Mus musculus: one gene and its partner. The protein of the gene in region 1 interacts with the protein of each later gene in a pairwise test. Links are inferred from orthologs where the notes say so. Each region holds a gene or a part of one and is shown in the gene's direction. Other genes may lie near its edges. The genes, in order: Tnni3 and Tnnc2.

Region 1 (4,371 bases):
TGGGCCAAAAGCCAGGTCTCCTCACACACAGTTTCCCAACATAGGTACTTGGTGGACCTGCGGCCCAAGGAGTTGAAGGCGTTCTCTGACCGCGTTGTAGAGATAGCGCGGGTGGCTGGGTTCGCCCCTCACACTGCAACCAAACCCTCGGAGACTTTTGCGAGGTTCTACAAGTTAGGGGACTCCACTCCGGGTGGCGGAGACTCAGCTGTGGAATCTGGACCCGCGCCCTCCAAAGTGGAATCTACCCGCGCCCCTCTCCCAGAATCGATAAGTCCGCCCCAGGCTAACCAGGCCCCCTCTCTAGAGGCGATGAGCCCACCCCTGGCTGACCTGGCCCCACCTCTAGAGACAATGTGTCCACCCCAGGCCAACCAGGCCCCTCCTCTAGAAGCGTTGAGCCCATCCAAAGCTGACCAGATCCCACCTCTAGAGGCGATGAGCCCACCCCAGGCTAAGCTAGTCCTGCCTGTAGAAGCAATCAGCCTTCCCCAAGCCGACCTGGCCTCTCCTCCGGAAGTGATAAGCCCACTCCAGGAAGCTATGGCAACGTCCTGGGTGAATGCACCTCCAAAACATGTAACATGAACCCCAGGGACCACGTAGCCCACCTTTAACTGCTGAAGCAGGCCCAGGGATTGACATCACCAGCTCAGCCCACCTGCATGCGGTTTTACTCTGCGTTCCTTCTCAACCCCAGGGATATGACTAGAACTTCAAATTCCTTTCCTGGAACTCTCGGTTGTACTATTTGGGGGGTAGGGGTGAGGGTGGGGGATGGGTCCTAGACTGTTATCTGAGACTTATCCTGACAAGGATCGAAGGCTGAAGGGACAACCCTGGGCTCCAGATCCTCTCTTTTGTCTTGGGCCTTTCTTGACATGCTGCTTTTGGGAAGGACAAGGGCATAGCCTTCCTTGAATGTGATTCAAATAAAAAGCGCAGGGTCACCTCTGTGTGTCCTGTCCTCAGTCGGTCTCCAGTGCCAAGAAGGGTGGGAGCAGCAGGGATGGGTCCCGATTGTGGGTTTGCAAGTGGGCTTGGCTGAATTTCACAGGAGTGAAGGATAAGATCCTTCAAACTAAACATGCCAGGGCCACTGAAACCGACAGAAACGTGGGGGAGAGAAAGGACACACTAGGTCCCAGAAAGACTGCAGTTCAGTGAGGGACCTAGGTGTGAGGACAGAAGGCCGGCATGGATTTCTGGGTATGAACATGGGAAGCTGAAGTCTAGACTCTTGGATTTGAGAGAAGAGGGACCTTGCTCCGGGTTTTCCTAAGTTTGAGGGAGGAGGGAGCTGGGGCGCTAGAGTCAAAGGAGGAGGGGTGTAGATCCTGGGCACCTTGGTTGACCCAACTGGAGCTTTGCACACGGCTCCCCTCACACCCTGTTATCGCTTATCCTGGGCAGGGGAGGAGACAGCAGTATATTTAGTCTTTGTCCTCGCCCCTTATCTCAGTGTCCTCAGTGAGGCTTGAGCAGCCCAGAGGAAACCCAACCTCTAGAGACCTCCAAGGTCACCAGGGACACCCTTCCAGGACCCTCCAGGAATCTCCGATCCTGTTCTCTGCCTCTGGAGATCATCATGGCTGATGAGTATGTGAATCTTCGTAGCCTTGGGGTGGAGACCTCAACAGGGAGAGGTGCGGTGGGTCTTGAGGGTGCAACCAGGTTGGATACTTGTCCTGAGAGAGTAGGAGGCAAGGGTGGTTGGATTTCTGTAGAAATGAGGTAAGAATTTGGGAATCAGACTCCTGGGGTTCAAGAGTCAGGGGACCACCATCAGTGATTTCCTCTTCACGGTTTCTCTCTCTTCAGGAGCAGCGATGCGGTGAGCTGTGAGCTAAGAAGTGGGGTAGGGAACCTTCGGTCCAGAGTGGGTGCTGCAGGGAGAGGACTGGGGACCAGTGGGCAGGGGAACCTGCCGCTAGAGGTGAGGTATCCAGGAAGGGCTGGATGGGAGGGTTTGGGTAGTGATGTAGCCTGCTTCAATTCCAGGCTGGGGAACCGCAGCCTGCGCCTGCTCCTGTCCGACGCCGCTCCTCTGCCAACTACCGAGCCTATGCCACCGAGCCACACGCCAAGGTGGGGCGGGGTCCAAGAGGATGGGCTTCTGGGTTCAAGAATCCTCTGAGACCCAGAAGGGGGCAGGACCAAGGCCCTGGAAAGGGGTGGTAGGGTGATGGGCAGAGCCCTATGGGTGGGGCAGAATTTCAGAAAGGTTCAGGTTGGGCTTGGTGACAGCGGCCTGTGGTTGGGGGGAACTTGCCTACAGCAAGGTTTAGGCGTGAGCGTAGTGGTTAGCAGTGAATAGATAGGCAGTGCGTAGCTCTAGTCGGAGACAAAGATTGGTAGATGGGACCGAGGAGCGTGGCTTCCAGTGGACTCCGCGTTCTGGTTGAAGAATGTCTGACCCGAATGGGTATGCACTCGAGTGGGTCGTGATGCCTTGCAGCTCCACCCAGTGTCCACTTTGGGACCTCACACTGACCTTTCTCCATATCACCTTGGCAGAAAAAGTCTAAGATCTCCGCCTCCAGAAAACTTCAGTTGAAGGTGATGATGAGGTCGCAGTGGGTGGGCTTGGGTGGGCGGAGCTTTGGGGGAGTGGTTTCGCTTCCGGAGTGTGTCAGTCCCCGCCTCCCCCGCCCCCCCCCCCCACGTGCGCGCGGGCAGAAACGAGGCAGGTTTTGAATAAAAGACACAAACTTGGATGTTCGGATATTCTGTCTCTCTGGAGGATGGAGGGAAATTTGTTATTCTTATACTTTTTGGGACTCTGTTGTCTGCTCCAACCATTCCGCAGACTCTGATGCTGCAGATTGCGAAGCAGGAGATGGAACGAGAGGCAGAAGAGCGACGTGGAGAGAAGGGGCGCGTTCTGAGGACTCGTTGCCAGCCTTTGGAGTTGGATGGGCTGGGCTTTGAAGAGCTTCAGGTACCAGTTTACAAAGCAAGGATTCCGGATAAGCCTGGGACCCGAGGTTCCTCATCTCTGGCCTGGCATCCCTTGGGTATCAGGAGCATAAGCACCATCTCAAGTTCTGCTCAGGATCTGCAATCCTTATGCCAAGCAATACGTTCAGCCCTACAGCTTCAAAACCCAGTGTATTTCTCCAGCCTCTATCTGCCAGGTCTCAGAATTCTTAGTTCCCGGCCATATTTCTTTAAGTTCCCTGGAGTGCAGATTCCGGTGTCAGCTTCCTTTCACCCCCTCCTTCCTCAGACTCAGGAGTCCAGACCCCAGCACTCCTCTCTCAAACTCGGGGGTCCAGAGCCTAGGCCTCCTTCCTCAGACCCAGAGGTCTCCTCTCTCAGACCAGGGAACCCAATCTCCAGCCTCCCTCTCAGCATCCACGCGTTCCTTCACCAGGACTTATGCCGACAGCTTCACGCTCGGGTGGACAAAGTGGATGAAGAGAGATATGACGTGGAAGCAAAAGTCACCAAGAACATCACTGAGGTGGGGAGCCCGGGGAAGCCTGGGACCTTCACATTACACCAAGATCTCCAGACTGTAGCTTCGGGCTGGGGGCTATGGACTCTTGTGCTTGAGATAACTCTAAGCAGAAAGCAGGCAGTGGCACAGGTACCTCGTGGCAAAGGAAGCTGTCTCTGCAGAGTAGAGCCTGGGTGGCACAAACGGGCCTGTAGAAACTGAGCATTGAGTTGAGCTCTGGGACAGGGAATAATGATCTGCACAGAGTGGGCTCAAGTTGTGTTAGACGCTGTCTTAGTCACGGTTTCTATTCCTGCACAAACATCATGACCAAGAAGCAAATTGGGGAGGAAAGGGTTTATTCGGCTTATACTTCCATACTGCTGTTCATCACCAAAGGAAGTCAGGACTGGAACTCAAGCAGGTCAAGAAGCAGGAGCTGATGCAGAGGCCATGGAGGGATGTTCCTTACTGGCTTGCTTCCTCTGGCTTGCTCAGCTTGCTTTCTTATAGAGCCAAGACTACCAGCCCAGAGATGGTCCCACCCACAAGGGGCCTTTCCTCCTTGATCACTAATTGAGAAAATGCCTTACAGTTGGATCTCATGGAGGCATTTCCTCAACTGAAGCTCCTTTCTCTGTGATAACTCCAGCTGTGTCAAGTTGACACAAAATTAGCCAGTATAGACACTTTGCGGGATGCTGCTAGGAGCATCAGGAAGAACATGGAGGTGCAGGCTGGAGGCTTTAATCTGGGGCCAGAGCTGGAAGAAGATTAGAAACAGAGAGCAAGAAAGGGACAAGGGAGAATTGTTTGTTTGTTGGAAGGAAGGAAGGAAGGAAGCAGAGGGAAGATGGGGGCTCCACACCCCATATGGTCCTCCCCAGATTGCAGATCTGACCCAGAAGATCTATGACCTCCGTGGCAAG
Region 2 (4,596 bases), on another chromosome or scaffold:
TCTTACCAAAAAGTGGGCCCTGAACGCCTTTCCCCTGGCTGAGCAGACCTGGAGAGAAACTTTCTCCAGTGCTCATTTCTCCTCACAATGTGAACCTCACTCTCTTTACTCTGAACACTTCTAGGTGGTCCCCAGAGTCATGCTTGTCCAAATTTTCCCACAATGAAGTTACATAAGAATTGGCAAGGCTTGCCCGGCGTGGTGGCGCATGCCTTTAATCCCAGCACTCGGGAGGCAGAGGCAGGCGGATTTCTGAGTTCAAGGCCAGCCTGGTCTACAAAGTGAGTTCCAGGACAGCCAGGGTTACACAGAGAAACCCTGTCTCAACCCCCCACCCCACCCCCCACCCCCCACCCCCCACCCCCGCAAAGAAAAAGAATTGTCAAGGCTGCGGCTCAGTGCTCAAGAGCACTTGCTGTTCTTCCAGAGGACCTTGGTTCAGTTCCTAGCACCCACGTGGTGGCTCCCAACCGTGGGATCTGGTGTCTCCTTCCGGCCTCTTTGGGCCCTAGGCATACACATGACGCACAGACATATGCGCAGACAGAACATCCATACACATTAAGAAAATTACGTTTTAAAAGAATCGCCAGGGCTGGGGGTGTAGCTCAGTGGGTAGAGTACTTTATAGCATGCACAAGGCTGAGGCTTGAATTCCCACCCAGCGCTATAATCTAGCATGCCTATAGTCTCAGTGACTTGGGAGACTAAAGCAAGAGGGTCACTTGAACCCAGGATTCGGAGGGCGGCTCACTTGACAGGGCAGACTCTTTTGCAAAATAAATCAAAGGAGTTAAACAGGGTTTGGTGGTACATGCCTGTAGATCGAAGCCCTCTGGAGGTGGAAGTAGGGGGATTAGAACCTCAAGGATAACGTCGGCTACATAAGGGGTTCAAGGCCGGTCTGCACTATATGAGCTCTGGCTTCCAAAGTGAGGGAAAGAATTCCTCTATGGACTGTATGGCTTCTGCTGTAGTCAGATGGGGATAATAATAGTTACCTTCATGGAATGAATAGTAGATGAGATCACGGAATCAAGATGCTCAGCGTAGTGTGGGCACAGGTTGTGGGAGTTCAATACATGGTGTCACTAGCTCAATGCTACGCATCACTTCCCCTAGGCACCCAGCACAAGCTAGGTGACTTAGTCATCTGGGCTCATGGTTGCCATTTCTATCTTGGAGGAAGGTGTGCCTTGAGGGCCCTCACCATCCGCCCACATTCCCGTGGCTCAGGGGGAGAACAGAGTCGGGAATGAATGAATTTTGGACGTCAAGCCTGGGCTCTTCCCATTCTGCTGTGCCCTCCTTCTGGACATCCTCCCCCATTTTGAAACACATGTGCTGGAGTGGGGTGGGGGGAGGAGCTCCCCTAAGACAGTGGAGCAGGGCGGGGCCCTCCTCCTAAGAATCCAGGAGAACGCCAGAGAGTGCCACCTGCTCCGAAGCTTAAATTTCCCTGCAAAGGACCTTGGCTAAATTAGGTAATGGGCTAGGACTCTAGGAGGGGAGGGGCTTGCTGCCCCCTGCATCTGATTGGTCAGGATATCCAGTTCTGGGGAGGAGGGAGGAGGGAAGAGAGGATGCCCCTACAAATCCTGGGGGCTAGAGAGATCTGGGGCACCTTTGGGTGGTGGAGTGCGGAGGAGACAACCCACAGCGGAGGAGTCCCAGTCGCCAGCAACCATGGTAAGGACAAGAAGGGTCTTCACACTTTTGTCCCCAGGCTACTTCTAGGCCCCTCTCTGTCCTAGAACTGTGTGTTCTGTGGGCAGGAATATGGACATCTGAAGGTGGAAGGGTTGCCAGAACTCAAGTCCCGAGGAGATGTCCTATAAAGGCTATGACTTCTCTTGGGTGGGGAAGGCTGGCCAGGATAGTTCAGGAATTAATCTTCAAGGTTTATGAGTTCCTGGCCACCTTGAGGTTTGGAACAGTGCTATTGTGCAGCCAGAGCTGTGTGGAAAGGTCTTAGCCTGTCTGCTTCCACGGAGAGATGGAGAGCACGAGGGCAGAAAAGTGACCCAGCAGGGCAGACACAGAGTAGGCTTCATAGGCTCAGCCAAGCCTGTGGCGACCCAAGAAGGAAGGCTTCCTCTAAGAATCCTGAGGAGGATGGTTAGTAGGGTGGGTACCCGGCCAGCGTTAGAGCCTCTGACCAGCCACAGAGGGGGTCTGATCTGGACCTGCCACTTTCTTCTGCGTACCCCTCCTACTTGACTTGAAGAAGTAATTGGACTCCAGAGACCAGCTGCCATTGCCCATGCCCAACTAAAAATAGCCTATCCTCCTGGATCAGGCCAAGGGCCGGAGGAGGGAAGGAGGAACTGGGCCAGCTGGCTGAAGGATGTCTTGGGACTCGTCACCCCTTCTTCACCATCCCGAGTCCAAAGCCCTGACCCAGATGGCCTGGCTTGGATGTGTCCCAGAGAAATTCACAGAAATCTTACTTACATGCTCACATGTGGCATGCCAGGCCAACCCGAGTGAGCTACATAGCAAGACTCTCTAAACACCAAAGCCAGAACGTTGAAATGGAACAAAGGGTTTTTATTTTCACACCAGGGCAAGGCTCCGTCACATTTGACATCAAGAGAGGTGTTTACGCCGATGACCGAGTGGGAAGTCTTGCCTCTGAGAACTGTCTGAGGCAAAGCTGCCCATCTCTTCTTGTGGTCTCAGCGTCCAAGCGCTTGGCAGATGTTCTGTGACTTTTGCATTCCGTTATTTAGTTGAGGACAAATATTCATTGACCAACTGGTCAAGTCCCAGGCAGCAATAGGAGACAGGGAAACTAAAAGATCACCAGTGAATGGCACTAACACACTCAAGCCCTCTCTCAATCCTGATTTCTTATTATCTCTACAAAGTCATAGGAAGAGTGACTTGCCAAAGGTCACTGTTGGGGTGGGGGTTCCCCGACTACTCTCTGAAGAAACTGTGGGTATAACCTGTGTCCCTTTGGCACTGGGGATGGGCACCAACGGGTACCTGGGAGGTACTGCTGGTTTGGAGTGGTTCTGGAGGACCCAGGGGCTCTTCCTAATACAAGAGGGGGCTAGGGAGGCTGAAGCTGGGGTGAGAGTCTGCCCTTCTACGCTCTGATTCTCTCTGCTTTCTACAGACGGACCAACAGGCTGAGGCCAGGTCCTACCTCAGCGAGGAGATGATCGCTGGTGAGTAGAGCTAGCCATTGGGAGAGATGCGGTGTGAGGCTGACAATCCAACTGGCCTCACCCATCGCTCCTCCTGTCTCCCCGCTAGAGTTCAAGGCTGCCTTTGACATGTTCGATGCTGATGGCGGTGGGGACATCAGCGTTAAAGAGTTGGGCACCGTGATGAGGATGCTAGGGCAGACACCCACCAAAGAGGAATTGGATGCCATCATCGAGGAGGTGGACGAGGATGGTGAGTTGGGCTCCTCCAGGGCAGGGGACCGGGAGGAGAGAGGCACAGGGCACCTTGGGCTAAGCAGGCCCCACATCTGCCAACCCCGATCCTTGCAGGCAGCGGTACTATCGACTTTGAAGAGTTCTTGGTCATGATGGTGCGCCAGATGAAAGAGGATGCGAAGGGGAAGAGCGAAGAGGAACTGGCTGAGTGCTTCCGCATCTTTGACAGGTGCGTGGGGCTTCCGGGATCCTGGACCTGAGAGCAGATGGAGCCCGTGGGCCTGAAGTGAAGAAGCAGGCTGGCCAGGGTGAGGTTGACCCTGTGTCCTTCTCTGTCCTTCCCTCCCAAAGGAACGCAGACGGCTACATTGATGCTGAGGAGCTAGCTGAGATTTTCCGGGCTTCTGGGGAGCATGTGACAGAAGAGGAGATCGAATCCCTGATGAAGGATGGTGATAAAAACAACGACGGCCGCATTGACTTTGATGGTGAGGGCCAGCTGGTGCTCTTGGCTTTGTGGGTGGGGCTGGGAATAGACTAAATTCCTTCTCATTCTATTGACGGTAACGAGTAGGCACCCGCTGTGCCCTGAACGGTACGCCTGACCTAGTCCCTCTTCTTCGCAGAGTTTCTGAAGATGATGGAGGGCGTTCAGTAAGGAGACGGTCTTTGTTCGTGTCCATCCAGACTGCAGGTCCCCTGGGCGTGGGCAGCTCCACCTTTGCTTTCCCTGCCTCACACGGGAAAGGCTGCTCCTTTGGGCTCTGTGACTGGAAGGAATAAAAGTTGACAATGTAAAGCTGGCTTGACCGACTGATTGAGGGCAAGGGATCTTAGGGACTGCCTGGCACAGAGCAGCTGGGTATGAAAAGAAGGAGGGGCCACGCGAGCCGGAGGCTTGGGCGGCAGAGAGCTGGGCGGAGCTCGCAGGTTCGCAGCCGGCTACCAGCAGCTGGAGCTAGCAGTGGGCAACTGGACAAATGGTCCACCCTTGCGCTTGGCGCTGGAAGAGGGAGGTCCCAAGGTGAGCCGGCCGCCTGTTACCTGGGACGGATAGGGTAAGGGTGTGCGGAAGCTGGAACCAGGTAAGAGGCAACGCTTCTTTCCCCCCACCATTTCTGGAACCTCTTGGATCTTGGGTGTGGTACGTTCACCCTCTGCAGGCCGCCCTGCCGAGGAGAGTTTGTCCATCCATCCCAAATGG

Evidence for each region.
Region 2: the proteins of Tnni3 (region 1) and Tnnc2 interact in binary tests that used the Homo sapiens proteins (3 or more experiments, as listed by UniProt). The two-hybrid records come from large-scale screens. The link is inferred for Mus musculus from reciprocal best matches to the Homo sapiens genes TNNI3 and TNNC2.

What each region holds. Positions count from the first base shown.
Region 1 is NC_000073.6:4,519,533-4,523,903, reverse strand, and holds the start of Tnni3 (troponin I, cardiac muscle), read left to right. Parts: upstream 1-1,375; 5' UTR 1,376-1,588; coding exon 1,589-1,599; intron 1,600-1,821; coding exon 1,822-1,834; coding exon of another isoform or gene 1,835-1,858; intron 1,859-2,001; coding exon 2,002-2,088; intron 2,089-2,517; coding exon 2,518-2,559; intron 2,560-2,809; coding exon 2,810-2,941; intron 2,942-3,376; coding exon 3,377-3,466; intron 3,467-4,329; coding exon 4,330-4,371. Other genes in the region: Dnaaf3 (dynein assembly factor 3, axonemal), read left to right, coding at 45-588. UniProt on the Homo sapiens protein: Troponin I is the inhibitory subunit of troponin, the thin filament regulatory complex which confers calcium-sensitivity to striated muscle actomyosin ATPase activity.
Region 2 is NC_000068.7:164,776,756-164,781,351, reverse strand, and holds Tnnc2 (troponin C, skeletal muscle), read left to right. Parts: upstream 1-1,617; 5' UTR 1,618-1,686; coding exon 1,687-1,689; intron 1,690-3,124; coding exon 3,125-3,176; intron 3,177-3,264; coding exon 3,265-3,408; intron 3,409-3,506; coding exon 3,507-3,621; intron 3,622-3,743; coding exon 3,744-3,880; intron 3,881-4,018; coding exon 4,019-4,050; 3' UTR 4,051-4,191; downstream 4,192-4,596. UniProt on the Homo sapiens protein: Troponin is the central regulatory protein of striated muscle contraction. Tn consists of three components: Tn-I which is the inhibitor of actomyosin ATPase, Tn-T which contains the binding site for tropomyosin and Tn-C.